Notamacropus eugenii: one gene and its partners. The protein of the gene in region 3 purifies or fractionates together with the protein of the main gene of each other region. This does not show direct contact. Links are inferred from orthologs where the notes say so. Each region holds a gene or a part of one and is shown on either strand. Other genes may lie near its edges. The genes, in order: RPLP0, PHB1, STAU1 and YBX1.

Region 1 (7,893 bases), on a different chromosome or scaffold from region 3:
CCCTTTTCTGTCCTGTTTCTCCCAGGATCTGAGTGGCAGAGACTGTTGCTAATGGTTGCCACAGTGGTACATGTTGAAACTTCGCTTTATCATGGTGATGTCATTTTGGTCCTCTTTGAGAACGGACAGCCACCACCAACCTCCCCAGTGCCTGGTATACAGCAGGCACTTAATAATTGCTTGTTGGGTTGAACTGAGATGGCATTCAGAAAGCAGCCCAAGTGGTCCCAACAAACTTGAAAGAGAAGCATGGGCGGAGAAATTCTCCTCAAAGAGACTGTATGAGGTTGAACATCCTGACTCTGGGATGCTTCTTCTGAGTGTTCTAGGGATTCTCAATTCTATTGGGGTCTAATTAAGTCCTGGGAGAGTTGGACAGCAGTGTGTTTTCAAGGGCAGAGCCAGCCCTCTGGGCAAAAAGGATTTCGCAGATTCCATGGGCTTTCGTTCCACTCTCTGTCCTGGTTGCTCTTGGTGCAGGAGATCGATGTGGCTACAACTTCTCTCTCTTTTTAAAAAAATATTTTTATAGATTTTTTTGTTTGTTTTTACATCACATTCATTTCCAAGTCTTTCTCTCCCACCCAGTGAATCATCCTTTGTGAGGAATATTTACAAAGAAAGAAAAAAAGTAGGCCAACAAAACCCAAACTGACCTTGTTTGGCAGCATAGTACATAGTTATATGTATAGACACCAAGGTCATCTGCTGCACCCCGGGCCATCGCCGCTCATCTTGACTTTCATCCTGCCATTGGACTTAGATGACTCTGGAAGAGAGATTGAAGCTCACGACTTTGTGCCGCTCTGTGTCACTTAAATCCAATTCACTTTGGAGTCAAGACATAACCCCATAATGCCATTGGTCCTCTTGGAACAACAGCAAATATGACCGTCGTGATGCCTTGTCTATAAATCACCCCTTTCCCAAGGCAGCCCAACCTCTTTGGATCAGCTCTAAGTGTCCGGCAAGTTCTCCCTGAGGTGCAGACACAATTCACCTGTTTGCATTGCTGTCCCATCTACTCTCCGCTGCCAAACAGCAAATCTAACCCTGCTCCAGCCAGGTCACACCAGCTTGGAATCAGTTGTCAAATTTTCAGTGTGAGTATTGACACAAAACTGGAGACCCATAAGACCTTCAAGTCAGGGCTTGATTTATTTTGGTGATTGCCTAGACTTAAGAAAGCAAAGGACGAAAGGTTAATAATGCCGATTGAATTGAAAAGCATTTCATGCATACGTGAAACATTATTTTCTGGAGAGCCACTTGTTAAACATTTACCAGCATACCCCTGCTTCCTTCATATGTCAGCCTTTGAGTTGTGTGACACTAGACGTCATGGGCCCCTTTCTCCAGAATAAATAACCTGGGTTCGTTGCTTCAGTAGATCCCCATTTGGCAGGTGCTGGACTCCTCCCTCCCCATGCAGCAACTTCCTCCTTCTTGGCATTTCCTCTGTTAGGAATGGGATGAGACACCCAAGAGTCAGAGCCTCCAGCCTCCCGGGAAGTTTGCAGGCAGCCACGAGTCTCGGCGGTTGTAGTTTTTTAAGTAACCATGTGACCTGGCTCTCCTGAGGCCAGGGGTTTCTAAATGGAGCGCATATTTATCTGATCCCTTAGGACCGAGGAAGTTCCTTAGACTGGTATTGCCCTTGGGAGATTTCCCTTGGTGTGGGAGTGAAAGAGAGAGTGACAAGAAAAGAATGGGGAGAGTGAGGCAATAAAAGAGAATAGAGGGCAAAGAGGAGGGAGGGAGGGAGAGAGAGAGAGAGAGAGAGAGAGAGAGAGAGAGAGAGAGAGAGAGAGAGAGAGAGAGAGGCAGAAAAAGAAAGAAAAGGGAGAAAGTGAAAGGGAGAAAGGGAAACAGAAAAAAGGGAAAGAGAGAAAAAGAAAGAAAGAAAAAAGGATGAGAAAGAGAAAGGGAGAAAGGAAGACAAATAAAGAGAAAGGGAGAAAGAGAAATAAAGAGAAAGGGAGAAAGAGAAATAAAGAGAAAGAGAAACAGAAAGACAAAGAAAAAGAAAAAAGGGAGTGAAAACGAAAGGGAAAAGGAAAACAGAAAAAAGGGAAAGAGAAAGAGACAAAGAGAAAGAAGAAGGAAAGGGGGAAAGGAAGAGAAAGAGAAAGAAAAGAGGTAGAGAAAGAGAAAGGGAGAAAGGAAGAGAAAGAGAAAGAAAAGGGAGAGAAAGAGAAAGGGAAGGGAAGAAAAACAAAGAGAAAGAGAAAGGGAGAAAGAGAAAGAGAAGCAGAAAGACAAAGAAAGAGAAAGAGAAAAGGGAGTGAAAGAGAAAGGGAAAAGGAAAAAAGGGAGAGAAAGGGAAAGGGAGAAAGAAAGAGAAAGAAAAAGAAAAAAGGGAGAGAAAGGGAAAGGGAGAAAGAAAGAGAAAGAAAAAGAAAAAAGGGAGAGAAAGGGAAAGGGAGAAAGAAAGAACTGGGAAATAAATGCTTGGGAAGTTGTTAAATTTGGGTTAAAGTCCTACTGTGTGCTAGCTGTGAGGGGGGTAGGGGGAGATACAAAAATAAAAAAAAATAGTTCCTATCCTTAAGAAACTTCCATTCTATGGAGTGAAAGAACATGTACTAGAAGAAGTTAATGGAAAATATATGCAAAGAATATACAGATTTCGGAAGGGAGAAGTCACCAATAACTGGGAGAAATCTGGAGGGGCTTCAAGTCGGAGGTGTTCAGTTAAACCTTGAAGGGAACTAGGATTTCTAGGAGCAAGAGCTGGAGAGAGGGAGAAGGGGTGAAGGAGGAGGAGGGGGAAGGGGAGAAGAAGGGGGAGGGCAAAGAGAAGGGGGAGGGGATGGAGAGTAGGAGGGGTTGAGGAGGAAACACTAACATGGATGGTGTGTGTGTGTGTGTGTGTGTGTGTGTGTGTGTGTGTGTGTGTGTGTGTGTATGTGTGTGTATGTGTGTTCGTCCTTCGTTGCCAAAGAAGACCATCAGAGAAATAAAGACATGACTTGCACCTGACTGCTTTGAGTGAGGGAGGGCTGTGCAGGTCACCAGCCTCACTTCTCTTCCAGAGCCATCTGAATCCAGTGACCAGATATTCATCAGGATGACTAGAGATGACCCAGGATGAGGCAATTGGGGTTAAGTGACTTGCCCAAGGTCACACAGCTAGTGAGTGTCAAGTGTCTGAGGTGAGATTTGAACTCAGGTCCTCCTGACTTCTGCACTGGTGCTCTATCCACTGCACCACCTAGCTGCCCCAGCATGGATGGGGTGTGAAAAGGAGAGACATGAAATTGGATGGAAAGATAGGTTCAAACCAGATTTTGAGTAATACCTTAAATGTTCACCCTGCATCTCATCTCCAGAATCAGTCGGCAGGTCCACTCCATTTCTAGCCTCCATCTAGTCTCTCCAGCTCATCCAGTCTCTAGCTTAATCCACCATCTTTCCTGTGGATTGTAGCAATAGTTTCCTGCGTCCAGGATCTCCCCTCTCCAAACTCCCTTGTTCAAGGACCAAAATCATATTCCTAAAGCTCAGATGTCACCATGTGACGCCCCTGCTCACAAAGCTTCAGATTCCCTACTACCAAAGCGGGGTACACTCCCTCTCCACCCAAGACTCTCAAAATCCTTTAAGATTTTTAACTCCAGGGTCACCTCCTACAAGAAGCCTTCCCTGATTCCCCTGCTGTTCATGTACTATCTACTCTCAAATTATATTTGTCTTTTTAAACGCCTTATCCTCTTCATGTAACACTAGGTCCTTCAGGGGAAGGGCTGGTTTTTTGTCTTTGTGCCCATCTGAAGGGGATAGGAATGAGACCTGTTATTTCCTTCCTTTAAAGAACCTCTGCATCTTATATATGCAATATATATAAGATATATATTATATATATCCTTCTCTTCTTTTACCTGATCCATCTCTACAAGATATTTATCGATCCTGCCTTAGACTCCCCTTCAGTAGGGGACCTCCTATTTAAGGAGAAGGTTTCAGGCCAACCATATCATTATTCTTTTCTTGGATGTTTGCTATCCAGTCCATAAGACTTTTTCCACCATTCCTTAGTCCTGAGTGACTTTTCCTTCCCCTCCATCCCTTTTAAACAAATTATTTTCAATTCCTGGAAAAAACCAAGCATTTCCATAAGACGGTATGATAAAAAAGATGATTGCAAGTGAAACTGAAAATAAATAATTTAATGGATATTTGCCTACAGGATCAAATCCTTTCCCAATCCAGCTGCCTCCTCCCTTTTCCAGTCCCCCCCTGCACTCTTGGATCCTCCATCCCTCTGTCTCTGGGCTCTGGGTATTCTCTCCGGTCATCCCCCAGCCTGCCCTCCACCTTTCATGGGAAGCTTTCCCCAGCCCCTGGGAGCTCTCTGGCCTTCCTATTTATCCTATAGGTGGTTTGAGGGCAGGGACTGTCTCTTTTTGTATCCTCAGTGCCTGGTACTGTAGGCACTTAATAAATGCTGATTAGAACTGAACGGACTGATTTACCCAGGGCCACAGTCACCATGCCAATCAAGGGAAATGAACCCAGGACTTGCCTGAGGCCAAGGCTCTATCCTCATGACCTGATCCAGCTTCTTTCATGAACGTACCAAGCTCTTAAAGAATGCTTTTTAATTCATTTTCACTTTATTCAAGCCCAGTGCCTGGTATACAGCAGGCGCTTAATAAAGCTAGGAGGTAGCTTTGCTTTTTTGCACAGTCTCTCTGAGTAGCACCGAGGGAGTGCCTGGAGATCCCAGGCCGGGCCAGCAGGGGGCGCCAACGGATTTTTGCTTCTCTTTTTCTGAGATGCGGGAGACTCTTCTTGAGAAGAGGCCCACCCCACACCGAGCGGCCGCCCTAACGTCCAATGGAGGCCTAGATCGCTCCCCGCTCTCCGCACGGGCGGCGACGTCCGCCAATGGGAGCGAGCTTCGTGCGCGGGCGCAGTTTGGCTGCGCCGCTCGCTATAAAAGGCCCGCGGAGGCGTGCGGCCGCTCTCTCCCCAGGCGTCCTCGTGCAAGGTGGGTGCTATGGCGGCTGTGGGTCCACGGCAGGCGGAGGGCCTCGGCCGGGGGCCTGGATTTTACCGAGGGAGGTGCCGGAGCCCGGGCCCGGCTGGGGCAGCCCCACGTCGGGGGAGTCACGGAGGCCCGAGAGGCCGCGGGCCGGGGCCTGCGGGGCCAGCGTGGGAGGGCGGGGGGAGAGGGGACGTGGCCGCCCGGCCTAGCCAGCGCTGCCGTGGGGGGCGGGGAAGCGGGCCTTCTCCGGGCCTTGAGCCCGCTGGAGTGGAGGCGAGGGGCGCGTGTCCGCGTCCGTGTCCGTGTCCGCGTCCGTGGGGGCGGGGAAGCGGGCCTTCTCCGGGCCTTGAGCCCGCTGGAGTGGAGGCGAGGGGCGCGTGTCCGCGTCCGTGTCCGTGGGGGCGCCGGGGTGGGGGCGGGGCCCTCCGTGACCGACCCTGCTTCCTTCGCAGAGACATCGTCTTTAAACCCCGCGTGGCAATCCCTGAAGCACCGCCGAGATGCCCAGGGAAGACAGGGCTACCTGGAAGTCCAATTACTTCCTGAAGATCATCGTAAGTCACGCGCGGGCTCAAATAATAAGTGAGGAAAGCTTAGGAAGCGAGGTTCTCCCCAGGGACGGCCCGGAGTGGACACGGACTCGCGTGTATCTTGTGGGTTTGTCCAGATCGCGATTGTGGCCGTGTCACCAACACAAAATTGTGCTTCAGTCCAGCCTTATGTTAGTTTAGATGTGCGTGTTCTCTGCCCACTTGAAAGCTGCGTGGAAGCCGTGGGAGGAGGCAGCCCTGGTTAGGAACAAACTGCATTTTCTGGCGTATTTTAAGAGGCTCTTTTAGCTTTCCTGACAGGTTACTTTTGATTTTTAAGGTCACTTAACTTGGAATTTACGTCCAGACAAGTTTAACTGTTGACCATTCGTTTTGACAGGAGATGGTTGTCAGGGAGTTTTTGGTGGGCACCAGTAAGTTTTTAAAAAGGAAATCATTTGGGTAGTTCAGAAGCTAACTCTTTAGTAGTAAGATGTAATTCTGAATTGATTGCTTGTGTCCCATTTCCTCTCGATATAAAAGCGATCATGAGTGGTCCCCTGGGATCTGGACAAGGCGTTTTGGCGGTGTTTTACGTCCTCGGTGCTAGGATATCAGAATTACTTGGGGCCATCTCCATTTGGCCTGACAGCTGGACAAAGGTGGCTCTGGAGGAAAGAATGAGGCTGGCGACTTTGCACAGCTCTCTCTCTCCCTTAAATCCAGTTCACTTGTAAGTTGTGACATCGCCTTTAGTCTTCTGAAACAAAGGACGAACACGACCAACCAATAATCAGAGTTAGAAGAGACCTGGAAATGATGCGGTAGAGGGAGCCCCAGATGTGTGAAGATTTGTGAGATCTGAGTTTCAATTAAGTTTCTGCTCCTTAATACCTTGTGACTGAGGATCTGAATCTTTTCTTTCTTCGTATCTGACCTTTAACATCTATTTTTGGTGCTTGCTTTATAGCAACTTTTGGATGATTATCCAAAATGCTTCATTGTGGGAGCAGACAATGTGGGCTCCAAGCAGATGCAGCAGATTCGGATGTCCCTCCGTGGAAAGGCCGTCGTATTGATGGGAAAGAACACCATGATGCGCAAAGCCATTCGTGGTCATCTGGAGAACAACCCTGCCTTGGAGAAGTAAGTGCAGTGTCTTGGGGGTGCTCTCTTTATTTCTTACTTTACGAGGCCAAGGTGAGGGTGAGCTAACTGGAGTGACTTTTCTTTCAGGCTGCTGCCTCATATTCGGGGGAATGTGGGCTTTGTGTTCACCAAGGAGGATCTGACTGAGATTAGGGATATGCTTCTGGCCAATAAGGTGCCAGCTGCTGCCCGTGCTGGTGCCATTGCCCCATGTGATGTCACTGTGCCCGCCCAGAACACTGGTCTGGGTCCCGAGAAGACTTCCTTCTTCCAGGCTCTGGGTATCACCACCAAGATTTCCAGGGGCACCATTGAAATCTTGGTGAGTGTAGTTGGCTGTATGGGTATTAATAATCCCCTTTTGAATACTTAGCTGTGGAGCTGTGGGACTGTGGTTCAGTCTCGGAAGCCTCCTGAACCCTAAGGGTGGATGGTGCTAAATACTTAGAGACACACCTGGGTCAGGGGATGTTGGGAAGATCCAGGGCGAGCCCAGTGCGCTCTTTCAGCTCATCCTGATGTTCGCTGCTGGTATTAGTCTGAGGCATCCTGGGCATCCTTGCTGCCTCTGGGCTGACTTTTTTCTTGTTTTTTCAGAGTGATGTGCAGCTCATTAAGACTGGAGACAAAGTGGGTGCCAGTGAGGCCACTTTGTTGAATATGCTGAACATTTCCCCGTTCTCCTTTGGGCTGATCATTCAGCAAGTGTTTGACAATGGCAGCATCTACAACCCTGAAGTGCTGGACATCACGGAGGAGACTTTGCACCTTCGGTTCTTAGAGGTGGGAGCTGATGGGCTGGGTACTATTCTCATGAGGGGTTTGAATGGAAGCTGGTTGACTTTATGAATGTAAAGATGGGAAGCCAACAGGGTCATTGGGATGGGAGGCTGCAAAGCGTGATGGGAATTCTGCTGAACTGAAGATAGTTGGCCCTGGGACTGGTGTGTGTCCAGAGAGGTGACTTCTACCTGTCCAAAGTTTAGGGTAGGCTGCAGAACTGGCACCCCAGCAGCAGAAGAGTGAACATGCTTCTACCATGTCTGATCCCATGGGGCTCTAGAAAGTCAGGATTGCCACCAGATAATCACATCTCTTTGTCCACAGGGTGTCCGTAATGTTGCCAGCGTCTGTCTGCAGATTGGCTACCCAACTGTTGCATCAGTACCCCACTCAATCATCAATGGGTACAAGCGAGTCTTGGCTGTAGCTGTGGAGACGGAA
Region 2 (6,907 bases), on a different chromosome or scaffold from region 3:
GAGGGAAGGGAGGGATGCCTTTGCATTTAAGTTGACTTGGCATAACTGAATACCATTTGTGACAATGGGCGTTGATTGTTTCTTGACCATTCTTTCCCACCCCTCTCTACTGCACCACGCCACCACCACTCCCCCTGTCACCTGCCCCCCCTCCCCCCACCAAATGAAGACTCATAGAATGTTACAGCTAAAAGGAACCTTTGAGATATGTGGTAGAGAAGGAAAGACACCCAAAGCCCAAAGACAACAGGGAGGAGAAGACCTCAGAAAGCTATTCCCATTGCTAACCACTCCACACTCTACTCCCAAGAGATACTTTTCCCCAACCAGTCCACTTGAGGACACTGGTTCCCCCTTGTGGTAATCTTCTGAATTATTATTTTTCCAACCCTATCTTGGATCCCAAGGCCCTGGGGTAAAGACCTATGTCAAGAGTGAGAAACCTGCCATCTCAAGGTCAAATGTGGCCCTCTAGGCCCCCAAGTGTGACCCTGTGACTGAATCCAGAATTCACAGAACAAATCCCCTTAATAAAAGGATTTGTTCTGTAAAACTTGTATTCAGTCAAAAAGCTACACCTGAGGCCTAGAAAGCCACATGTGACCTCAAGGCCGCAGGTTCCCCACCCCTGAATTTACTGCTAGTCCCATAAATCAAGTTTTCCTGTCTTCAGCTCTTTGACTCCCCCTGTACACCATCTATCTCTGCATGAGGTGGTTACCCATGCTGTGGCAGGAACAAAAAAACCAGAAAGTGTCAGAATTTCAAAGTTGGAAAAGACCTTGAAGCCCATTCTGTGCAAACCAGATGTGAAAAAAGGAAACTCTACAACATATTTGAGAAAGTCATCTGGCTTTTGCTTAAAGACCTCAAGGGAGGGTGAACCCACTTCTTCCTGGGTCAGACATTTGCAATTTTGGATCATATAATACTTGCAAAATTTTTCTTTGCATCAAGCCTAAAGTTATCCTCTGCAAGTTCCATTTTTCGCTTCTACTTCTGTCCTGGGTCCAAGCAGAAGTCTTTTTTCTTCCATATGACATCCCCTGAAAACTTGAAGACAGCTATCATGTCCCCTTCACCTCCACCCCAAGTCTTGTCTCCTCCAAGTTAAACAGTTTCAGTTCTTTCACCCTATGCTATTATGTGGTATGAACCCAGAGCACAGTGCCTGGCACACAGTAGGTATTTAATAAATGTTTATTGATCGACTGACTTATTGATGAACTCAAGTCCCGTTGCCATTTTCATTACCCTCTTCTAAACATATCAATCTATCAATGTCCTTCCAAACACATGATATCTGGAAAGAAATGTAATATGTCACATCAGGGGTTCTTTACCTTTTTTGTGTATTGTGGATCTCTTCGGCAGTCTGGTGAAACTTAGGGACTCCTTCTGAGGAAGTTTTTAAATGAATAAAATAAAACACACAGGATTGCAAATAAATCCAATTGTAGTGAAAACAAAGATGTATTTTTTTTCCCTGAAGTTGATGGACTCCACATTCAGAGTCCCTATTCTAAGAGATCTCCCTAGTCCTGGGCACTGTATGCTGCCTCACATCACATAAGCTTGGCCACCATATCACACTTGCAATATACAGCAGCTTGCAGTCCACTAAAACCCCCAGATCATGTTCAAACTGTTGTCTAGTCAAGTCTTGGTTTATTTGTGTACAGAGAGACGCCTGAAGCCTTGTGTTTAAGAGCTGGTTCCCTCCTTGGGTTTTTGCATGCCATAAATTTCTGGGCATCTTTCCCATTATTATTCTTTTTTTCCCTACACTGTCATTGAGCTCTATGGTAAATAGCTTGAGCAGATATATGTAGGCAGGTTTGGCTCCTCCTCCTTCCTTTTCAGTTTAAAGCCCTTTGATTAGATTTGCAATATTCCAGACACATTATTTTTTTTAATTGCTTTTCCAATTACATGTAAAAATAATTTTTAACATTTAAAAAAAGTTTTAGTTCCAAATGCTCTCCTCTCCTTCTTCCTCTTTCTCTTCATTGAGAAGGCAAACAATTTGATACAGGTTATACATGTGCAGTCATGCAAAACATATTTCCGTATCAGTTATGTTATCAAATCTATCTCTTTTTAAGTCCTTGCCTTCAATTGGTAGCAAGGATGAAAACGCCACCTATGCTCCTAAGACCTTCAATTTCTTGTCCCAAACTACAAAAACTTTAAAAATGCCTTCCAAGATTCCTTTAACAATATTATTTGGTGGCAGATGGGTGACAAAGTGGATAGAGTGCTGCCTTGGGGTCAAGAAGATGAGTTCAAACCCAGCCTCAGAAACTTAGCCATGTGACCCTGGGCAAGTCAATTTAATCTGTTTGCCTCAGTTTCCTCATCTGGAAAATGAGATAATAATAGCACATACCTCCTAGGGCTGTTGTGAAGATCAAATGAAATAATAATTTTAGAGCGCTAGCATAGTACCTGACACGTAGTAAGCACCATATAAATGGCAGCTGCTACAATTGTTTTTGTTATTATTGGCACCCACTAGGGTCATCAAAAGTGGGTAGTAATTACCTGGTTTGACACATCCTGTCTCAAGTCTATGCCCCAGGAAAATGACAAACTTCTGTTGTCATTACCAGTTTCATAAACAGCCCCTCAGTGAGTCCCCTCAGTGGAGGGGCACCCACCAGCACTACTCATCTCTTCTTCCTCGGACCCTCACCAAAGGCTCCCTCAACCGACCTCCTTCACAATATCCTTCCTAGAAATGGCTCGCAGCTCCCTGCCCTCCAGGAAGAGTCTCAAGACCGTTCAGGGGTCCTTCTTCTTCCCTTTTTCTCTATGTTACCATTTTTTTCTTCTTCCACCTCCTGACATAGGTCAGAATTCCCTCCTAACTATTTAGATCTTTCTTCTGTGCTTTCACATTGAAGGTCTTCTGAGTGGTCGACTTTTTCCATTTGTTTTAAACACTTTATCCTCCCTGATAGACTCCAGAGAGAAGAAGCATCCTCAGAGTGCCTTCACCTTCTCTTCCAGGAGGAGACCAGCCATCTGGCCTTTGGGGAAATACATCCAGCACACCACCAGATCCTCCCCTGCTCTGGAGCCTTGCTAGAACTGCAGTCTTCAGCGCTGAGCCCTCCTGGTGGCAAGCTCCTGGCGCAGCCTGCGGCTCCCAACGTGGGACCCGCTTTCCCTCTTTTGCGCCCAGATAGCCAGCTGGCCCGTAACTGACCTGGCCTTTATCTTGCCGTAACAACGTGTTTTACTCACTGGTCTATCTTAACTTATCTTACAGACTTCCTCCCTCAGCTCACACTCCATGCTTCTGCACATACACGAGACGGTAAAGCGCAGGAAGGTCCTCAGGCCCACCCAGGAATGCCTTTGAAACTCTTTATGCGCATGGCCAAAGAATACTACAACTCCACTGCTTCGGACTTAAGGTTCGCAGAAGCATTTGACCCCCACTACCCAAGCAAGGTGGACAGCATGAGGGGCCGCTAGGTGGCGTGGTACAGTACTGGGCCTGAGTCATCTTCCTGAGTTTACATCCAGCCTCAAACACTTACTAGCTGTGTGACCCTGGGCAAGTCATTCAACTCGGTTTGCCTCAGTTTCCTTCTCTGTAAAATGAGCTGGAGAAAGAAATGGCAAACCACTCCAATACCTTTGCCTAAAAAATCCCAAATGGTGTCACGAAAGGTTGGACACAACCAAAACGAGTCCGAAACAGCCCAGAGGTTACCTTCCCCTAAGGCAAGGACGCAGTAGACGCTTCCGGCGGCACGTGTAGTCATTCCAGGTGAACTACAACCCCAGCAGCCTTTGGGGCCAACTTCAACCGTCCAATAGAAAAGGATTTTCTTCACCAGCTTAAAAGCAGCGAGGCATACCGGGAGTTGTAGTTCCCTCTCATTAGAAGAATAGGGGCTCAGGACCAGTCTTGAACCACCAATCCCAGAAGGCGCCACTTTCCTATTAGCCAACAGGAGGAAAGGTCCTTCAGGAGGGGGCGGTGAAGGGAAGGCGAGACCCGACGCAGGCGCAGTAAGTAGGGTTGGGGAATTCATGTGGAGGTCAGAGTTGTGTCTGGTGAGCTAAGGGTTTGGGCCTTTGATAACTGTGTTGTCGTGCCCCACTCTCGCGCGTTCCCGTGGGATATTGAGGGGAGGGGGCTCGAGGAAAAGAGGAGGTAGTTGAGGAAGGAGAGGAGAGTAGAGGAGCTGAGAGCCAGAATGAGAGGAAGTGTGAAGAGTCTGAGGGAGGGAAAGAGTAGAGGAGGAGGCTGGGGGCGGGGAGGAATGGAGCGGGCAGACTGAGAGAGGGAAAGAGCAAGAATGGAGGGGGAGGGAAAGAGAAAAAATGGAGGGAGGAGGCTGAGAGAGGGAAAGATTGGAGGGGAGAGGGAGAGAGCAAGAATGGAGGGGGGAAGCTGAGGGAGGGAAAGAATGGAGGGGGAGGCTGAGAGGGAAAGAGCAAGAATGGAGGGGGGAGGCCAAGCTTAGTGTGATAATGGGGAAGATGGGAAAAAGGAAATGGTAGAGACATGGGAGTGGAAGGGGACTCCTAGGAGGCAACTAGAATTTGAAGGTTGGTAACCTAGTGTTAGTGAAAAAGACTTGAATTCTGAATCAGGCATAGCTTGAATCCTTTGGTTCTCAGTTAACTTATCTGTAAATGAGGAATTGAAGTTACTTTTGTCTTCGAGGTGTTTTTAGATGTACCGATTCAGAGTGGATAGAAAGGTTTCAAAGCCAGGACGATCATCTTTAAATTCTTTCTCTGATACATGCTGGCTTGTGTCCCTGGACCAGTCACCTAATTTCCCAGTGCTCTAGGCAAGTTGCAGAGAAGGTGCCAACCTGCATTGCTGGAAGTTTCCTTACACTATACCAGGCATTCTTGAACTTGCCATCCAAGGGTAATTTTACACAGGGTCTGTGAGCTTGAATAAGAAAAAAAATTTACATCTTTATTTTCATTAATCTCAAACTGAAATTTTATCATTTTCTTTTATTATGAATGTAGGCAATGAACATTTTGACCCATGGGCTTTACCAGATTTCCAAAAGGGTCCATTATATTAAAAAGAACCGTTGCTTATTACACTGGAGTTATAGGTCCTGTCTTATCCTTGTGCCCTATAGTTAGAAAATGTGTGCTCTTAACCCATGGAAGGGAGGGAGTTATATAGTATTGAGGGGAGGAAAAAAATGAGATGATCTCTACAGTTAAGTGAGATTTCTGGTTTCTGAGGTCTAGTTAATTTCTTTTGATCTCTGAGAAACTTTCCTAGCTTTCCAAGAATCTATTCCTACTTCTCACTTTTCCCCCCATGCTCCACTGTCATGCTGGCATCCATCCAGAGGACTTTTCTGTCCAGTCTTTCCTTTCTCTAATAACATGACATTCTCCATAGAGGAAAATGGTGTTGATAGCCCTACAGTCAGCATGGCATTGCACATTGATCTTCTCTTTTTAAAATACTGGAATGGTTTTTGATGAATTCCCCATACTCTCACCCCATCCCCACTGTGACCACTAGAATCTGTTTTTGATTTGTCAAGGAGGAAGGAACTTTAACAGTGTGAAGTTAAATGGTGTTGAAGACCAGCCCCATGACTGACCGTAGGTGTACGATGCCCTTCCTAGTGAACTACCTTTCCCAAACCAATCTCAGCCCCTACCCCTGTCATCAAGTGTTTGTAACTGAACATGAAAGCAGAGGAACCATAATTCATGGAATTTTTAAGGCTTTCTAGGGTGTTAACCTGTTTAGCTAAGGATGAGCAGAACCTTCAAGAAGATAGAAATCTTACCCTGATTAGAAGATGAATTCAGTGGTTGGGAATGAGTTTTCACTAGGGAATGTATGGGCCAGGCTAGCCTTTTGTTTTCTCCCTTTAGGTCTGAGAGAGCAGAAGACCAAGACCATCTGAAGGAGACATGGCTGCTAAGCTGTTTGAAGCTGTTGGCAAGTTTGGCCTGGGCTTAGCTGTTGTAGGAGGAGTTGTCAACTCTGCTTTATATAATGGTGAGGGCAGTCTCCCGACTCATACTAAGGGTTCCTGTTGTCCAATGTAACACTCCTGGTAGTAATCACTATCTATGAAAGTGGTTGTTTAATAAGACCACCTTTCCCATGCTGTGTATACCCACTGTTATGTTGGGGTTTGTTGCTGTTTAAAAAGACGTTGTACAACTTTTTAGACTTTTGTTCTTTGCACCCCTTGTTTACAGATGTCCCTGTCTTTGATGTTGCTACATTTTAAAAATCATGCTCTTCAGGAGTTAAAAGTATTTAATCAAGATAACTAACAGATATCACCGCCCTTCTACCTTGGGTGGAATGTCTCCGTAGGTGTCCCATGTAGTTTGGAACGGGGCGGGGGCCCTGTTAGATCCCCCAATTTGCAGTCAGGAAGCAGCAGAAAAGCATCCTTCTGGGTTTGCAGCTATAGGAATGAGGGAAGTTCTTCATGGCAACAGTGAGGTTTAAGTAGACATGCAAACACCTGTGGTTTCCAACAGTGTCAGAGGGCAACTTCCAAATGCCTGGGACGGTTTCTTTTGTGGTCCAGTAGCCACATCTATACACATGGATGGCATTCCTCACTAGACATGGTCTTTGATTTATGAGCATGGATATGTTGCTTTCCCAATAAGGCTTTGAGAAAAACAAGGCATGAGAAAATTAGAAGTGGAGGTTCTGAATTTCAGAGTTACCATCAAGAGTGCTGCTTTAACTGATGCTACACCTGAAAAGCATTCAGTTAAGTTGAAAGTGTGGCATATGACCCAGGTGGAGACTTTTTTTTTTTTTTTGGCAAATGTGGATTATGTGTTCCTGGAAATAGGCTCAAGGGAGCAAGGGAGAGAGTGGTTAATCACAAAATCAGCAATTTCATCTTCCAAGGAGAAATGATGG
Region 3 (6,888 bases):
ACTGACAAATTAAATATGTTTCTTAACAACTTCCCTAAATGACATAAATATCTTTTAAAATTACAGAGGGCAGTATTTGCTTGTCATCTATAGCTACGTTGGTATTACATGTCTACTAAAATCAAGAAGGTTTCAAAATTACTAAATTTACTATTAAAAAGTATAGTGGGTAATGAGGCTTTTTTTTAAAAAAAAAAATCCTCCAGAGTAGAATTTAAAGTTTCTAATCAGAATATTCTTTCCTTAATTCTTAACCTAAAATTACATCAGCATATTTGCACAACCACAGTAAAGAACCTTTTAAAGTTTTTCATCACATAACTTATTAACCATAGTTTAACTTTGACACAAAAAGTTATTTTCCATTAAAGATAGTTTAACAAATGTCCATTAGACCAGGAAGAAAAAATCCAACGTTTGATTTTTTTTTTAAACTAGTATCACAAAGAAAAAACTGCTGTTTCATACGCAAATAATATAGCTTGTAATCTTAAAAAAAAAAATGATCTAAATCCTGCCTCACATGTAATTCACCAAAACCTCCATTTTGGCTATAAAAATGTATATTACAATAATTTTTACCCCACAAAATAAAATAATTACCAACTGCAAATTACTAACTAAAAGATAACTTTATACATTCATTATAAAAATGAGTAACTTTAGAGAGAATAACAGCTTGGGAAAAATTAGTTATATTCCAAATCAATTTTAAAATACAATTTTAAAATGCTGTTTGTGGCAGCAGTGCACTTTACAAAAGGCAACAGGTAATTTGTCTGATTCATAGTTTAAACACTTCGGAAACTTACAGCGATTTTAAAATACATTGAAATGGATAACAAGACTTTATAAATGTATCAAACTATAATAGGCAAGTGTCCAACGTACTAACTTCATAAAATTAAGCAAAAGATGTTTCTAAGGTGATGTGTAAATCAAATATTTTAATTAAGGGATTCTATTTAAATAATTTAAATAATATAAAAGAACTTTTTAATAGAACAAACAAGTATTGCCTAATCTTTTCTGTAAATCAGGGTTTTCACAATCCAGTTTGCTTAGTACAAGATATACCAGTATACTTAACTTCTGAATTAAAAATAAACTCAGCATGCACAAATGAACCTACTACACTAAAATCTCACCTGTCAACTCTAAAATTACTCTCTGCAATCCAGCCACTTTAACTTTCAATAACTCTTAGTATAATTTATCTCACTTTGATTACCTAGAGATAACACGAACAACTTAAAATCAGTTTTCTCCTGCAGACTCACAACAATCAAGACAATCCGACAGCATACAGAAAAACAACAAAGTCCCTGAAACCTTAAAGCTTTTCCCATTGCCAGAAAAACCCACAGATGACTGGGCTGCCATACATATTTGGCCTTATAGAAGAGATTCTCTTACATACACGAATGATATTGCCACATGGGTAAGTGCACAGACTTATAATAGGCATCAGTAAACGAGGGCAGAGGAGCTGGCAAAAAGGTATGGTGTTAGAGGTTTGGATTATATTACAGTAGAAGACGAGGCAATTTGGAGTAAGGACAAGGAAGGAAATAAGCCACTGAATCTATTTACTTACTAAATACGGGATGGCAATATTACCTTTCTCTTACAGGTTGTGGCCCCAAATGATAACCAGCTGGTTCCACATACTTTCTACCGGAGGGATGATGAATTTCTCACATCCACATCAGTTGCCATGGATAAGTTTAAACTGAAATAGTCTTCTCCTCAACACAACTGCCTGCAGAAAAATGCATTTCTCCCCCAAGTGCACAGGTGTATGAGGGCGGCAGCTCAGAACTTTGTTTGATACCACTACTGTTTCCTTCCTTTCAAGGAACCAGAACCATACCTAACTTCCTCCCTAATACGAAAGGCATATTTGATATAGGAAAGCTCGGAGGATTAAAAAAAACAACCCAGAACCAGTCTATCCTCTCCCTTAGGATAATGAAGATTGGGACATAGAACAATAAAAAACTGCTGGAGTTTCAACAATTCAACGAACATTCCATGGACAATCTGGCAGGCAGCGGAGTAGGGGAAAGGGTCAGAATAAATTTCTTTAGGCATTCAGAGATAAACACTCTAGCCTTAGAACTGGGCTAGGGTTTGGGGGGGGGGGGGAGTGTGTGTGTGCAAAATCCGGAAGAGAGGAGCTTACGAGGGGCTCCTGCCTTAAAAAGGGCCTGGTCTTCCCCTCCGTGGCAAAGAACAGGTTAAAAAGGCTGTTGCACGTCCCTCAGGCCGAGAAGGTGCAGAGGGAGGAAGGGGCCTGCTGGGGGGGAGCAGACATGGGTCCCCAGCGAGACGGGGGCTGCAGCAAACACCGTTCCTCTGGGGAAAAGGCGGGGAAGGGCATCAAGCAGAAAAAGACCAAGGATGGAGAAGGGGCGGCGGAGGAACCGGCGCCTCCCGAGCCCCCATACCCCGGGAGGACGGCGAGGGGCAGCGGCAGGAGGAGAAGGCTGAGGGCTCTTCTCCCAGAATAGGCCTGATCCCCGCCCCGAGGAGGGCGGAGGGACTGAGGCCTTTCCTGGGGGAGGGGGTGGCGGCAGCCCCTCCCCACTCCGGCCGGGGAGGGAAGCTGACTCCTTCAGCGGCCTGGTGTCCCCAGCCCTGTCGGCCGAGGCACGCTGGAAGCGGCCGGTTGCCTCGCCTCCTCAGGCCGAGCTAGGCCGGGGTGGCTCAGGGGAGCTGTCTCCCGTCCCCTCCGCCTCTCCCTCACCCACCAGGCCCTCCCCCAAGCTGCAACGGGCTGGGCCGAAGCGCCTCACCTGGATTCCCGGGACTCGTCCCCCGACGAAGGATCGGTTAGGCGGTGGTTGTGAGGAGGGGAGGGGAGGCGGAATGGCCTGTGGGGGGGCGGGCGCCGGGGATCGGGGAGGGAGGGAGGGGGAAGCCGAGCCAGACGCTGCGGCCACAGGGCAAACACTAAAGAGAATGAGCCGCTCGGGCTCCCGCAGCCAGGCAGGAAGTGACGGGGGGGGAGGGACAGGGCCCGACCCCCCTCCTTCCCCAATCCCCTCCCCCCATTACTGAAACTACAATTCCCGGCAGGTTCAGCGCAGCTCCTGCTACGGAGACTACAATTCCCAGCAGGCACTGCATGAAACCCTACCCACTACCCTCCACGTCGGGAATCAAAATTGTCTTTCGCGATCAAGCTGAGGTGTGGTCCTTTGCTGGGGGCTATCCTAACCTACCCCTTCTTGCTCTCGACTGATGGGAGATGTAGTTCCCGCAGGATGCACAGGCCCAAATTCAGGGACAGCGGGCAGGAAGTGACAGCCTTTTAAAAGCAGAGGCAGGGGTTACCTCCGATAGAATGTCCAGGAACAGGTTGGTGTCATTCACTTAGACCTCAGCCAACATGTATGGGTATAACCATCCTTCTCATGGTCTTCGGTGGCACACATTCTCACCCCCCAGGTAACGCTGGCGGCCTCTAGGATCCATCCCAAAGGGCCCTTTCTTCCTTCTTTCCTTCCTTCCTTCCTCTTTCCTTAATTCCTCCTCTTCCTTCCTTCTTTCCTTCCTTTTTCCTCCAAATAGAGAAGCAGGAGTTAACATCATAGATGACTTTATATGCAGAATCCTTCAGTCCTCCAAAAAAAAGCAAGTTAAATAAATATGCTCTATAGTTTGTACCAACTTTAACTTAGTCTGTATTTAACCTAGGTTTTCCAGCAGCACACCCTGAAATTATTATTCTCCAACATTGTTGTTTCTAGCTTCATACTTTCACTTTTCAATTTACACTCATCTTTTTTTCATATGCTCTCCTTTGTATTTTTTATAGAAAGTGAAATAGGCTATCTCCATTCTTAACACCTCTACATGTTTCTGGGACATATCTTCCCATAATTCCTCCCTAAAGGATCTATCCAATACGCTATGGATGTTTCTTCTGTGTTGGTGATTTTTGTATTTCGGGATTCTGTTGCAACACTTGGGTTATTCCCTCACTCTAAGTACATGAGTGGCCTACCTCACTACTTTCACGTGCTAAGAATCGTACTTATTAAAATCCATTTTTATAGTGTAAAGAATATGATTTATCATTTCTCATCATAGCAGTCAGTCAACAAGCGTTTATTAAATACTAAGGATGTACCAGGCAGTGTACTAGGTGCTAGGGATGCAAAAACATCGAAACAGTCTCTTCCCTCAAGGAGCTTACATTTTAACCTGGAGACAATATAAATATATGTACGAAACCATACATTTTATGTGTACAAAACACATATATAAGACAAATTCAAGGTAATCTTGAGGGGAAAGGTAGGGGACCAGGAAAGGTCTCACACAGCCTTCCCTCACTTAAATCACAGTTAACTACAAGTCATGTCATCATCTTGATGTCATGGTACTCTTTCAGAACAAAGGACAAACACAACAACACACAGAAAGTGGCATATTTGGCATAGTGCTATGGTAGATCCTCAGTAAATTCATGTTAATTACATTTAAATTGGATGTCAAGAGGAAACAGTCAAGTAATATTCAAATTCAATGATGTAGATCCTACTTTGAATTGGCTGACCTGGCTGACACTCTAATAAATAAAAGCTCTACTCTGATATCTAATTGAGAACCCTGGGTAATTTCTGATGCCTCAGGAATGACACAATTTTCTATTCTTGTTTTGTTTGTTTGATTTCAGGATTTTCAAACTTTTGTTGTGTCAAAAACACATAGTTCTTCCATTGTTTCCCACATCACAAAAACCTTTTGTTTTTGTTTAAAAAGAAACATTTGGTACTTAAGCTATATGGTATTTTTGTGGGACTTAAATTATATTTTGTTTTGTATATTGCTGTTACAGCAGAGTAATTTGGAATAATTCAATGAAAATGTCTAAAATGTTCATAGACTTTTATCCAGAGATTCTACTGCTAGGTATATACCCAAGGAAATCAAGATAGAAAGGTCCTAAACACATCAAAATATCCATGCCAACACTTTTAGGCAATAGCTAAGAATTGGGAGCAAAATAGATGCTTATTGTTTGGGAAATTGAATGTAATGGAACATGTGCACCATAAAATAAATATGATTATTATTCAACATAAATAGTATATTAATTATGTTATAGAATTATTAGTTAATGTTAATAATATCTGTAACTGATGATATTAATATTTAGTAATAGGTAGGCATGGAAAGATATATATGAACTGACACAAAAGGAAGTAAACACCAGAAAAATAATGTATACAGTGACTACAATAGACAGGACAAAATAAATCCCCAGATTTAAAACTAATAGTAATGATCAGACCTGGTCATTACAAAAGAGATGGGAAAATGCGTCTCTGTCACTTCTTTTCAGAGGTGGGGAATTGTGGATATGTAACAATTAATATTCTGTCAGTCAATTAACAAATGTATTCTACATACCAAATGGTGGAAATACAAAGAAAAAGTGAAACCGTCCTTGCCCTCAAGGACCTTGTCTGGCATGAGGGAAAGACAACAAGTATATATGTAAATAGAGAAAGATAATTTTGGGAGAGGGGGAAGGCACCAAAAATCTAGAGGGATCCTGTATCTTAAAGGATTCTAGGCATTCTAAGATGTGGGGAAAGATTCTAAGGTGTAAGGGAGAGCAGTTACAATGAGACAGAGTAGTGTTGAAGTTTTGTGTATGAGGAGTAGAAAGAAGGCCAGTTTAGTTGGATTGTAGAGTGCGTGAAATGGAGTAAATGTATAATAAGCCTGGAAAAGTAGGCTGGGTCCAGATTGTGAAGTGCTTTAAATGCCAAAGTATTTTATTTCTTCTTTGAAGCAATAGGAAGCCACTAGAGTTTACTAAGAAGTAGAGTAACATGGTCGGGCAGTTAGGTGGCAGAGTGAATAGAGTGCCAAATCTAAACTTAGACACTTGCTGGCTGTGTGACCCTGGGAAAGTCACTTAACCCTTTTTGCCTTGGTTCCTTATCTGTAAAATCAGCTGGAGAAGGAAATGGCAAACCACTCCAGTGTCTTTGCCAAGAAAATCCCAAATGGGGTCATGAAGAATTGACACAAGACGGTCAAACTTACGCTTTAGGAAAATCACTTTGGCAGCTCTTGGTCAATGTGTTGCTTAGTTTTGTTGCAATGCTTTTTTTTTGGTCTTATTCCTTGTTAGAAGGGATAACTCTTAGGAGAGGGCAGAGGTGAGGGATATATTTGAAAATGAAGGTGATGTAAAAACCCGATATCAATAACAATTCAAAAAAGAAAATAGGATAATATAATGATGTATTTATAAGCAAAAAAGGGTGAAAGGAGGTACCAAGCTCGAGGGCATAATGGAGAAGACCAGTGAAATCCAAAAGCAGAGCTGTTGGTAGGAAATTAGGAACTGATTGCCCTGGGTCCTCTTTCAAAAGAGTGTTTTTGGAGCTTTTAGCTCCATCTTCCAGTCAGAGGGGCAGATGGCACTGAAGAGATGCAAATACCAGGGCTAATTTGATTTTGCAAGATAATGAGATTTCCCAATTACATATGAGGTTCCTGGGGCATTATGGCGTGATAAAGAAGTCCAAGTGGGTCAGAACACTGTGTAGCCGGTGGAGAATGAGGAGGAGGGAAAAGTAATTGAGATGTCTAGATTGTGAAGGGTTTTAAATGTCAAACAAAAGAATTTGCATTTTGTCCCAGAGGTGTTAGGGAATTTATGAAACTTCCTGCTCAAGGAAAAGTGACCTAGTCAGACCTGTGCTTTGGGAACATTATTTTGGCAGCTATAAGGAGGAGACATGAGAGAGAGACTAGATTGGAGACATGGAGAACAATTAGAAGCAGAGAGATGATTAGTGCTAAAAACTAAATTGATGGTCATGTGAGTGGAGAGAATGTGTGAGTGGAAGTAGAACT
Region 4 (7,916 bases), on a different chromosome or scaffold from region 3:
AAAGAAATGGAGATCTAGAAAGGAGATGGGCCTCCAAAACAAACTACTACACAGTAGCACAGATGGCATTTGAATCCATTCCCTTTCTACTACATGATAGCTGCCTCCATTACTAGAAAAAATTCAAGGGAGGTATCCTACACTAATAGCAATAATAAAACAACATTAATAGCTAAATTTTATATAGTGCTTATCTTACATAAAGTATACATGTATGTGTGTGTGTGTGTGTGTGTGTCAAGTACTGTATAAGGACTTGACAATGATCTCACAGTTCATCCTCGTAGTAACTCTATGAGGCACATGCCATTAGTATTCCCTTTTGCAGATAAGGAAAACAAGGCCAATAGGGGTCAAGTGACTTGTCCAGGATCACTCAACTATTAAATGTCAGGTCAGATTTTAACTGTCTTCCTGACTCCAGGAGCCACCTAGCTCCTGTCCCCAAATAGGTCAATTCCTTCACCTTTGTATACTAAGTGGACAATACATTACCTCAAATCAAAATTCTATAGCCCACGCCTCAACTTCCCCAAGCTGCAGAATCAGAAAGGCTCTACAGTTGTTGAAGATTTAGCAAAAGTTAGAAGACTATTATTTGTAGTTTTGGAAAAAATGGTTATTTTGCCATTTTCCTTAGTAATTTCACCCTACTGCTGGTCCTAGAGTCAGACAAAGAAAGGGAACAAGAGCACCAACGTACGCTGCTACAACAGGGAAAACAAATATAAACTGGAAAAGCTAAAAATTTTTTAAAGAAAAAACATTTTATATTAAATTTGGTTAGCCTCAATCTGAATTACTCCAAATTATGTAGACAGCTGAACCCTGCTATAATATGTAGTAATTCACTACGTTACTGCACCACAAACCCAAGACTACCCCCCTTCCAAAAAGGTTAATTGGATGCAATGTTAGTTAGGTCTCTGAACACCATCCTCACAAAGATTATGTTATTAAAAAAAAAAATGTATCACGATAACATATTTATTTGAACCAGAACAAGGGGAATCCTTCAGGAAGACTTTTCAGGAGGTTCTGACATTTTCAACTGGGTGGGATTTCTACTGTGCGGATTCTGCTCCATGTGCTACAGTAAGAGACAAGCTCCTCCAGCGAGGGCTCCTCCACCGCTACCGACTTACCACTCGAACCGAGAACACGTCGGACTGCTACAGTCCGTGTTCAGACACAACTGTTACCAAAACCACCCACGCACGAGGCTGCCGGCCCGCGGCTCTGCGGTCCCCGGCAGTGACCACTCGAACCCACGGCCCGGGCCGCGTCAGGGGTGGCAAGCGTGGGCCAGGACGCATGCGGGGGCAGGGCGGAGCGGCTCTAGCTTTCTCTCACCTGTTGATGAAACCATAGCCGTTTCTTACATTGAACCATTTTACTGTTCCCAAAACCTTCGTTGCTGGGAGAAAAAAAGAAGGAATCCAAGGTTACAAAAGAAATGCCCGGAGCCCCGCCGAGGCCCGGCCCCTCCCCCCAGCCCCGCCGCCCGGCCCGCGGCCTTCGGGGGGGTGCCGCCGGACCCGGGCGCAGCCGCCGGGAAGGCCGCAAGAGCCCTGCGAGCACGTGAGGGGAAGGCGCGCGCCGGCCCCCGCCCGGCCTGCGGAGGCCGGCGGCGGGAGGGGCGGGCACCGCGCCCTCGGTCTACACGCGGAAGGGAGGGAGAGCGTGCAGGAAGGGGAGGGGACCCGCACCACGGCGCTGGCCAGCTCGCCCGTGGGGCGCGTGGCCGCCCGGGAGGGCCCGAGGCCGGGAAACCGTTACACACGCGGCGGCCAGCGCGCGAGGGGAGAGGGGCGGGCGGGTGGGCGCGCGGCGGCGGCGGCGGCGCGCGGGGGTCCATAGGGGGCGCGGGAGGCGGCGCGCGGGCGCGGCGCCCTGGGCACGAGGACACTCGGCCGGCGCGCGCAGAGGGAGGGAGAGGAAGGGGAGGAGGTGAGGGCGGCGGCAGCGCGCGGAATCCATGCCGCGCGCCGCACCCCCCTCGGCTAACGGTCCCCCCCCACCGTCCCCACCGGCCCCGGGCTTGGCCGGGCCCGGACCATGCCCCTCACCGATGACCTTCTTGTCCCCGCCGGCGGGCGCCGCCGATGTGAGGCCGCCGGGACCGCCGCTCCCTCCGCCGCTGCCGGTGATGCCGGGCTTGGTATCGGCGGTGCTGAGGGCGGGGGCGGCGGGGGGGGCGGCGGGCGGCTGCTGGGTCTCGGCCTCGCTGCTCATTGTTGCGGTGATGGTGACTGGGGCCTGCTGCGGCAGCGGCGGCTCCTCCCGGGGTGTGATGGTGACTAGGCCGGCGGCGGCGGTGGGGCTGCTCTCAGGGCTCTCTGGGGTCCGCTCTCCGCTCCCGCTACCGATCGAACTAGCGAGAATGGCGGGACGGGCGGGATAAGCCCTCCGAGCGACCCGCCTTATGCTCCGCTCATTGGCTCAAAATGCCATCAATCCGCCACCTGACCAGAAGCGCCAGCTCTCATTGGCTAGGGGCGCATCACTCCCCCGCTCTCATTGGCTCTCGGAAGTGTAATTTGTCCAACTTACTAGCAATTCCAGCCTCCGCCGCCGCCGCCACCGAGACCGGAACTAGAACTAGAGTGAAGCCCCTGCTGAACCATAGAGTACCCGAGAGGGCGGGCAGAGGGAACGTGACTCGGAGCGTGGTGTAGTGCAAGCCCAGCCTAGTCCCGAGCGCTCTGGTCGGCGAGCTGGGTCGAGGTTGGTTGACTGGGCCGGCATAGAGCGCTCGGGATCGACTAGGGTAAAGGGGAGAGAGTTGCTCCGGGTTCACGCCCCACCATCCCCGGAAGTGAGGGGGGGGGCAAAATTGTCTACATGACACCTCGGCCGTCCGCCTCCGGGGTCCACATGGCCGGCTGCGGGCACCCAGGGGCCCCCGATTGTGGATTTTATTTCTTTTTCTAATTCGGCCATTTATCTTGTGACACGAACAACGCTGAGCCCTTTCCTATTAAGCGTCAGGCAGCAGTTTTCCTTTAATTATATTAGGGAAATGCCCAGATATAGGGATGAACATCGTGGAGAGAAATCCTACGATGAACTTTATTTTTGATAATGGCCAGAATGAGGAGGAAAGTGATCGCCTTCCTCTCGGCCGTCACGTGCAGGAACGGGATTTGTTCAGCCTAGCCCAGCCTGGCAGGAGGCTGGGAGGGCAGTGGCGGGTGGAAGGGGGCAGTTTCCTAATCGTCAACGGCAGATAAAAGCGCCGCCCCTTGGGGTCGTGAGCTCACCCTCCCCAGTGTGTTGTAGATAGAATAGTGGACCTTCTCCTGCAGCCCCCAACCCTAATTGTCTGGCAGCAAAACTGGTGAGGGGGGCGTGGCAGGGCAAGGCTTTTTTGTTCATGCGCAAGATGTGTCCGTAAAGGGATTTTTGTGTGCATCAAAAAACTGGCCCCCAAGGCAATCCTTGGAGATCCAGACAGGTTTTGAGCAAGAGAAGCCTTGATGAAGGACTAGGCAAGCACACGTCACCAAAGTAATTACTTTGAAGGCCAATTTATTTGCAAATGGCCTACTGGTTTAAATCTAGATCCTACTTTTTGAAAATAGGAACCCACACGCTGACCAGAAGGCATGGTTAGCCACTGCAGGTGCTACTGGTGCGATGGAGGATAGAAAGGAAGCAGGCTCCTTGCCCCTGTGAGGGCTGGAAGGGCAGGTGTGAGGCGGGGTGGTAGGGGACTTTTAACTGCCCTAGCTCTGACACTGTCAGCTGCTGGTAATTTGGTGAGTTACTGTACCCCAAGTACAGCAGGAGACCAGCGCACAAGTTTTGACCTGGTTGTTTTATTGCAGACTGCTGAGGCCAAGGCCTCCCAAACTATTCCAGCTAATTTTCATCCTATCACCAGCAGCTTCTTTACTCAGACCCTGGCCCTTTTCCTTGCTCTTAAAGGTAGGCATACAGAGAAATTGCCTCCTTTGTCCGGAGGACAACAGCATACTTGACACAACTTCCTAAAATCCTAAGCTTACTACATTCCTTTGGAATTCATTCCTCTCTTGAATCTTCCTCTATTATTGTCATAGTCCCTCAGCTAAAGGATCAAACAGGAGAAAAGCAGTAGGAATGGGAGAAAACTGACCACCTGCCTGGAACACACATTTCTACCAGCTGTCCCCTTCCTCAGTTCAGCTATGTTCCATAGTTATGTGCAGCACTGCCTAGGAAAGAGAAAGATGCTAGCTAGGAGGTGAAACCACAGTCATCCCAGCAGGTCTAGCTTAGCCAGAGTGAACAGACTGAGGCTCACCTTAGATAGAGTTTTTTTAAAAAAAGACAACCAAAACACAAGCTTTATTTACAGTTGCAAATTTAAAAATGAAAGGCTTGGGGTCCTGAATCCATGACAGGTCCTATCTCTTGATCACAAAGGCAGGCAGTAACCAAGGAAGCAAGGTGGAAGGCCAACCCATCTTCTCAGAAGCATCACTGGGGCAAAGGGAGCCTAAAACAAGAGAAACACGGACTTCTGTGGAGGCCAAAGCAAGGAAACAATTCTGAACAGATGGGATGAACCTGGCCAACTCTAAATGAAGTGGTGGAAAAGGATACTGACCTTAGGAGTCATAAGAGGAAGGCCCAACCCTGGCCCTGTGCTAAGTCACTATGAGCCTCTGGACAAATCAAACTTTTCTAAGTTTAGTTTCTTCATCTGCAAAATGGGGACCCTGCTATCTGCAGTGGGTGACAAATAGGATAAGGTATGTTGTTGGGAGTCCTTTTTTAAGAGTCCCGAACTGTTATTAACAACTATTATCAGGTACCTCTGTGACCTGCCTGAGTAGGGAAAATAATAGAAGTACTCCTGCCAGAGGGAAATCCTAGGGTTAGGCAGAGCTGAATTGGGCTAAAACTTTGCAGGGCTTAGGGTGAGAACTTCAGCAAACTCTAGCAAAAAGCCCCAGGACTGGAGTCAGAGTTAGATCCTGTGGGAGGGGCAGGAAAAGCGAAAGGAACGGCTCCACCCTTCCCTTCCCTTCGCCCAGGTGGCCATGTACCCAGCAATCACTCAATCAAGGCAGACTGCTGGGATCAGTTCCTTCTTACCTCCACACTTCTAACCGCTTTGGAATAACCCTGGAGGTTCAAGTTTGAATTCTGGAGCCCAGCAAAGTGGGCTAAAAAGTGGCCCTTCAGCCTTTGTAAAACGCAGAACAAACATCTCTTGCCCATGGTAATGGCTGCTATTTGCACTGCAGGGCGGGGCTGGCTGGATCTGGGGCACAGGCTAGGCCTGTGTCAGGATCCAAATCGCTGCGCTTGCTTCAGAATTTTGAAAATATTTGTCTTTGAACTGTATAATGCCCAAAGTGAGGTCTGGCTAAGCCCTCTTGGATCTTAATCCAACCAGCAGGCCTGGCCTGAACCCAAAATAACCTCCAAGAGCAGACCCTTGATTCAGGGCTTCTTACTATGTGGCAAGGCAGTTTGGTATAATATTCTGCTCCAGGAGGCAGGAGACCTGGATTCAAGTCCAGTCCCTCATTAAATATATGGAAGGAAAAGTCATTGCCTAGTTCTGGACTTCAGTTTACCCATTTGCACAACAAAGGAGAGGGTCAGATGACTTTCCTTCCCATCCACATGTTCTAGAATTCTACCTCCGGCAAGCAAGTATTTATTTGGTGAACAAATGCCCAACCTCCGGTGTGCCCAGGACCAGTATTTTCACATGAAATCCCCACCACCCCAGGCCCAATATCGACCTAGACATTATTTCCAAGAATTGGAGGCAGGTGCAGAAAGGTAAATGGAAGGGAATCTGCCCAGACCGGCAGCATCATCAGAGAGGCTGCTTGTCTTCTGGTTCTTCCAGTACCTCAAAACAAGGTGCTGCAGGCATTAATTCTGTTCTCCTAGCAACTCCGGATGCCAACTGAGAGCAACCAGAACCTCCTCTGCCTCTGGCGAGCTTTTTCATTATTGGAAAAATAAGGGATTCCTTCTCTCAGTAAGCTGCCCAGTGGCCCAAGGGCTCAGACATGTTCAGTCTGGCAGGTGTGGCCTTTTTAATGAGCCTGAAATAGGAGATAAGCCTAAGTGTAAGAATGGTCAAGGGCCCATGAAGAGAGAGAGCAAGTAGGCTACCACAGGCTCCTAGGATCCAGAGAAAAAGTGTATCTGAGAGATCATCTAGTAGCCTTGCTCTTGACGGAGGAAGCAGCTGATTCCTACAGAAGGAAAGGACTTGCTTTGTGAAAGTTTTCACCAGGTAGAAACAGCACTGGACTGAGGTTCCAAACCCACTTCAACACTTACTATTCTGGGATCATGGGTCAGTCATAGAACTTCAGTTTCTTTATCTGTAAGGTGGGCCTAATACTTGTAAAATCTAGTAGGGCCACGGTGACACGCAGATATGATAATGTATGTGAAGTGCATACAGAAACATCAGTTCTTATGTTGCCCAAAGTCTTCCTGTCCCTTCATGGCCCAACTGAGGTCCGTCAATAAGCATTAAGTGCCTGGGCTTATTAAAATAAGCACTGTGCCAAGTTCTAGGGATACAAAGAAAGGCAAAAGATAGTCAGTCACCTGCCCTCAAGGAGTTCACAATGTAACTGGAAAAGACAAGTAGTAAACAAGCAACATCTGAGGATAAATGGGAAATAGTGAGAAGGTGCCACAAATACGAAGGGTTCAGAAAAGCTTCCTGTAGCAGTTGGGATTTTAGCTGGAGCTCAAAGGAAGGCAGGGAAGGCTTGTCGGTGGACATGAGGAGAGAGCATTCTGGGCACAGCGAAAATGCCCAGAGCTAAGAGATGGAGCGTCTTGTTTGAGGAACATTCAGGAGGTCAATGTCACTGGACTAAAGAATACTTGGGGATTGCAGATAGAAAACTGGAAAAATGGGGGGGAGAGCGAGGTTAGGAAGGACTTGGAATACCCGAGGACTTTGTAATTGATCCTGGAGATGACAGGGAGTCACTGGAGTTTGTGGAGTATGAAGGTAACATCATCAGACCTGAGTTATAGGAAAATCATGTTAGTGGCCGAATGGATGATGGGATGGTGTGGGGAAGAGACTGGAGGCAGGCAGACCCACCAGCAGCTATGATAATAGTCTTGGCATGAGGGCTTGCACTAGAAGGGATAGCAGTGTCAGAGGAGAGAAAAGGATGCATATGCAAAGAGAGGTTGCAAAGGTGAAATCCAAAAGCCTTGGAAATAACTTGGATATGGCAGGGGAGGAGGACTGCGAGAGACAGTGAGGGGTCCAGGATAACTCCTAGGTTGGAAGTCTGAGGGACTGAGGATGGTGGTGCTCTTGTAGCAACAGGTTAGTTTGGAAGGGAGGGTTTAGGACAGGGGTGGGGAACCTACCACCTCGAGGTCACACGTGGTTCTCTTTGGTTGAATCTAAACGTCACAGAACAAATTCTCTTAATAAAAGGATTTGTTCCATAAAAATTGGACTCAGTCAAAAGGCCAAACCTAAGGACCTAGAAGGCCACATATAGCCTTGAGGCTGCAAGTTCCATACCCCTGGTTTAGAGGAAAAGATAATGAATTCTGTCTTGGACATGTTGAGTTTAAGACATCTACTGAACATACAATTTCCAAAATGTCTGAAGGTTTAAGATGCAAGATAGGAAGCCAGCAGAGAGGTCAGTGGATAAATAAGAATATTCGAGACTATTGAGATAATTAAAGGTGAAGTTTCTCCTCTGGAGCCTTCCCTGATAACTCCTCAATACCCAGACACATAAATACACAAGTGATCTCTTCCTTGTCACATTTCTCCCACTCTCCCAGGGCTTTGAGACCTATCTCTCTCCCCTCTGGGCCATCAATGTTTGTGTATCTGTCTGTCTCATCCTGACCTCCGTTCAATGATCAGGTCTTTGAGAGGTTAGAGATGGAAAAGGAGAGTTGAG

Evidence for each region.
Region 1: the proteins of STAU1 (region 3) and RPLP0 purify together in Homo sapiens (affinity purification with mass spectrometry; 4 studies listed by BioGRID and IntAct, with this or other methods). This does not show direct contact. The link is inferred for Notamacropus eugenii from reciprocal best matches to the Homo sapiens genes STAU1 and RPLP0.
Region 2: the proteins of STAU1 (region 3) and PHB1 purify together in Homo sapiens (affinity purification with mass spectrometry; 3 studies listed by BioGRID). This does not show direct contact. The link is inferred for Notamacropus eugenii from reciprocal best matches to the Homo sapiens genes STAU1 and PHB1.
Region 4: the proteins of STAU1 (region 3) and YBX1 purify together in Homo sapiens (affinity purification with mass spectrometry; 3 studies listed by BioGRID and IntAct, with this or other methods). This does not show direct contact. The link is inferred for Notamacropus eugenii from reciprocal best matches to the Homo sapiens genes STAU1 and YBX1.

Annotation. Positions count from the first base shown.
Region 1 is NC_092875.1:25,063,812-25,071,704, forward strand, and holds the start of RPLP0 (large ribosomal subunit protein uL10), read left to right. Parts: upstream 1-4,876; 5' UTR 4,877-4,993; intron 4,994-5,442; 5' UTR 5,443-5,490; coding exon 5,491-5,544; intron 5,545-6,490; coding exon 6,491-6,666; intron 6,667-6,756; coding exon 6,757-6,991; intron 6,992-7,266; coding exon 7,267-7,452; intron 7,453-7,776; coding exon 7,777-7,893.
Region 2 is NC_092873.1:351,425,168-351,432,074, forward strand, and holds the start of PHB1 (prohibitin 1), read left to right. Parts: upstream 1-3,893; 5' UTR 3,894-4,026; exon of another isoform or gene 4,027-4,071; intron 4,072-5,886; 5' UTR 5,887-5,925; coding exon 5,926-6,013; intron 6,014-6,907.
Region 3 is NC_092872.1:517,876,282-517,883,169, reverse strand, and holds the start of STAU1 (double-stranded RNA-binding protein Staufen homolog 1), read right to left. Parts: upstream 3,018-6,888; 5' UTR 2,799-3,017; intron 2,513-2,798; exon of another isoform or gene 1,621-2,512; intron 1-1,620. UniProt on the Homo sapiens protein: Binds double-stranded RNA (regardless of the sequence) and tubulin.
Region 4 is NC_092876.1:74,521,944-74,529,859, forward strand, and holds the start of YBX1 (Y-box-binding protein 1), read right to left. Parts: upstream 3,018-7,916; 5' UTR 2,236-3,017; coding exon 2,070-2,235; intron 1,418-2,069; coding exon 1,354-1,417; intron 1-1,353. UniProt on the Homo sapiens protein: DNA- and RNA-binding protein involved in various processes, such as translational repression, RNA stabilization, mRNA splicing, DNA repair and transcription regulation.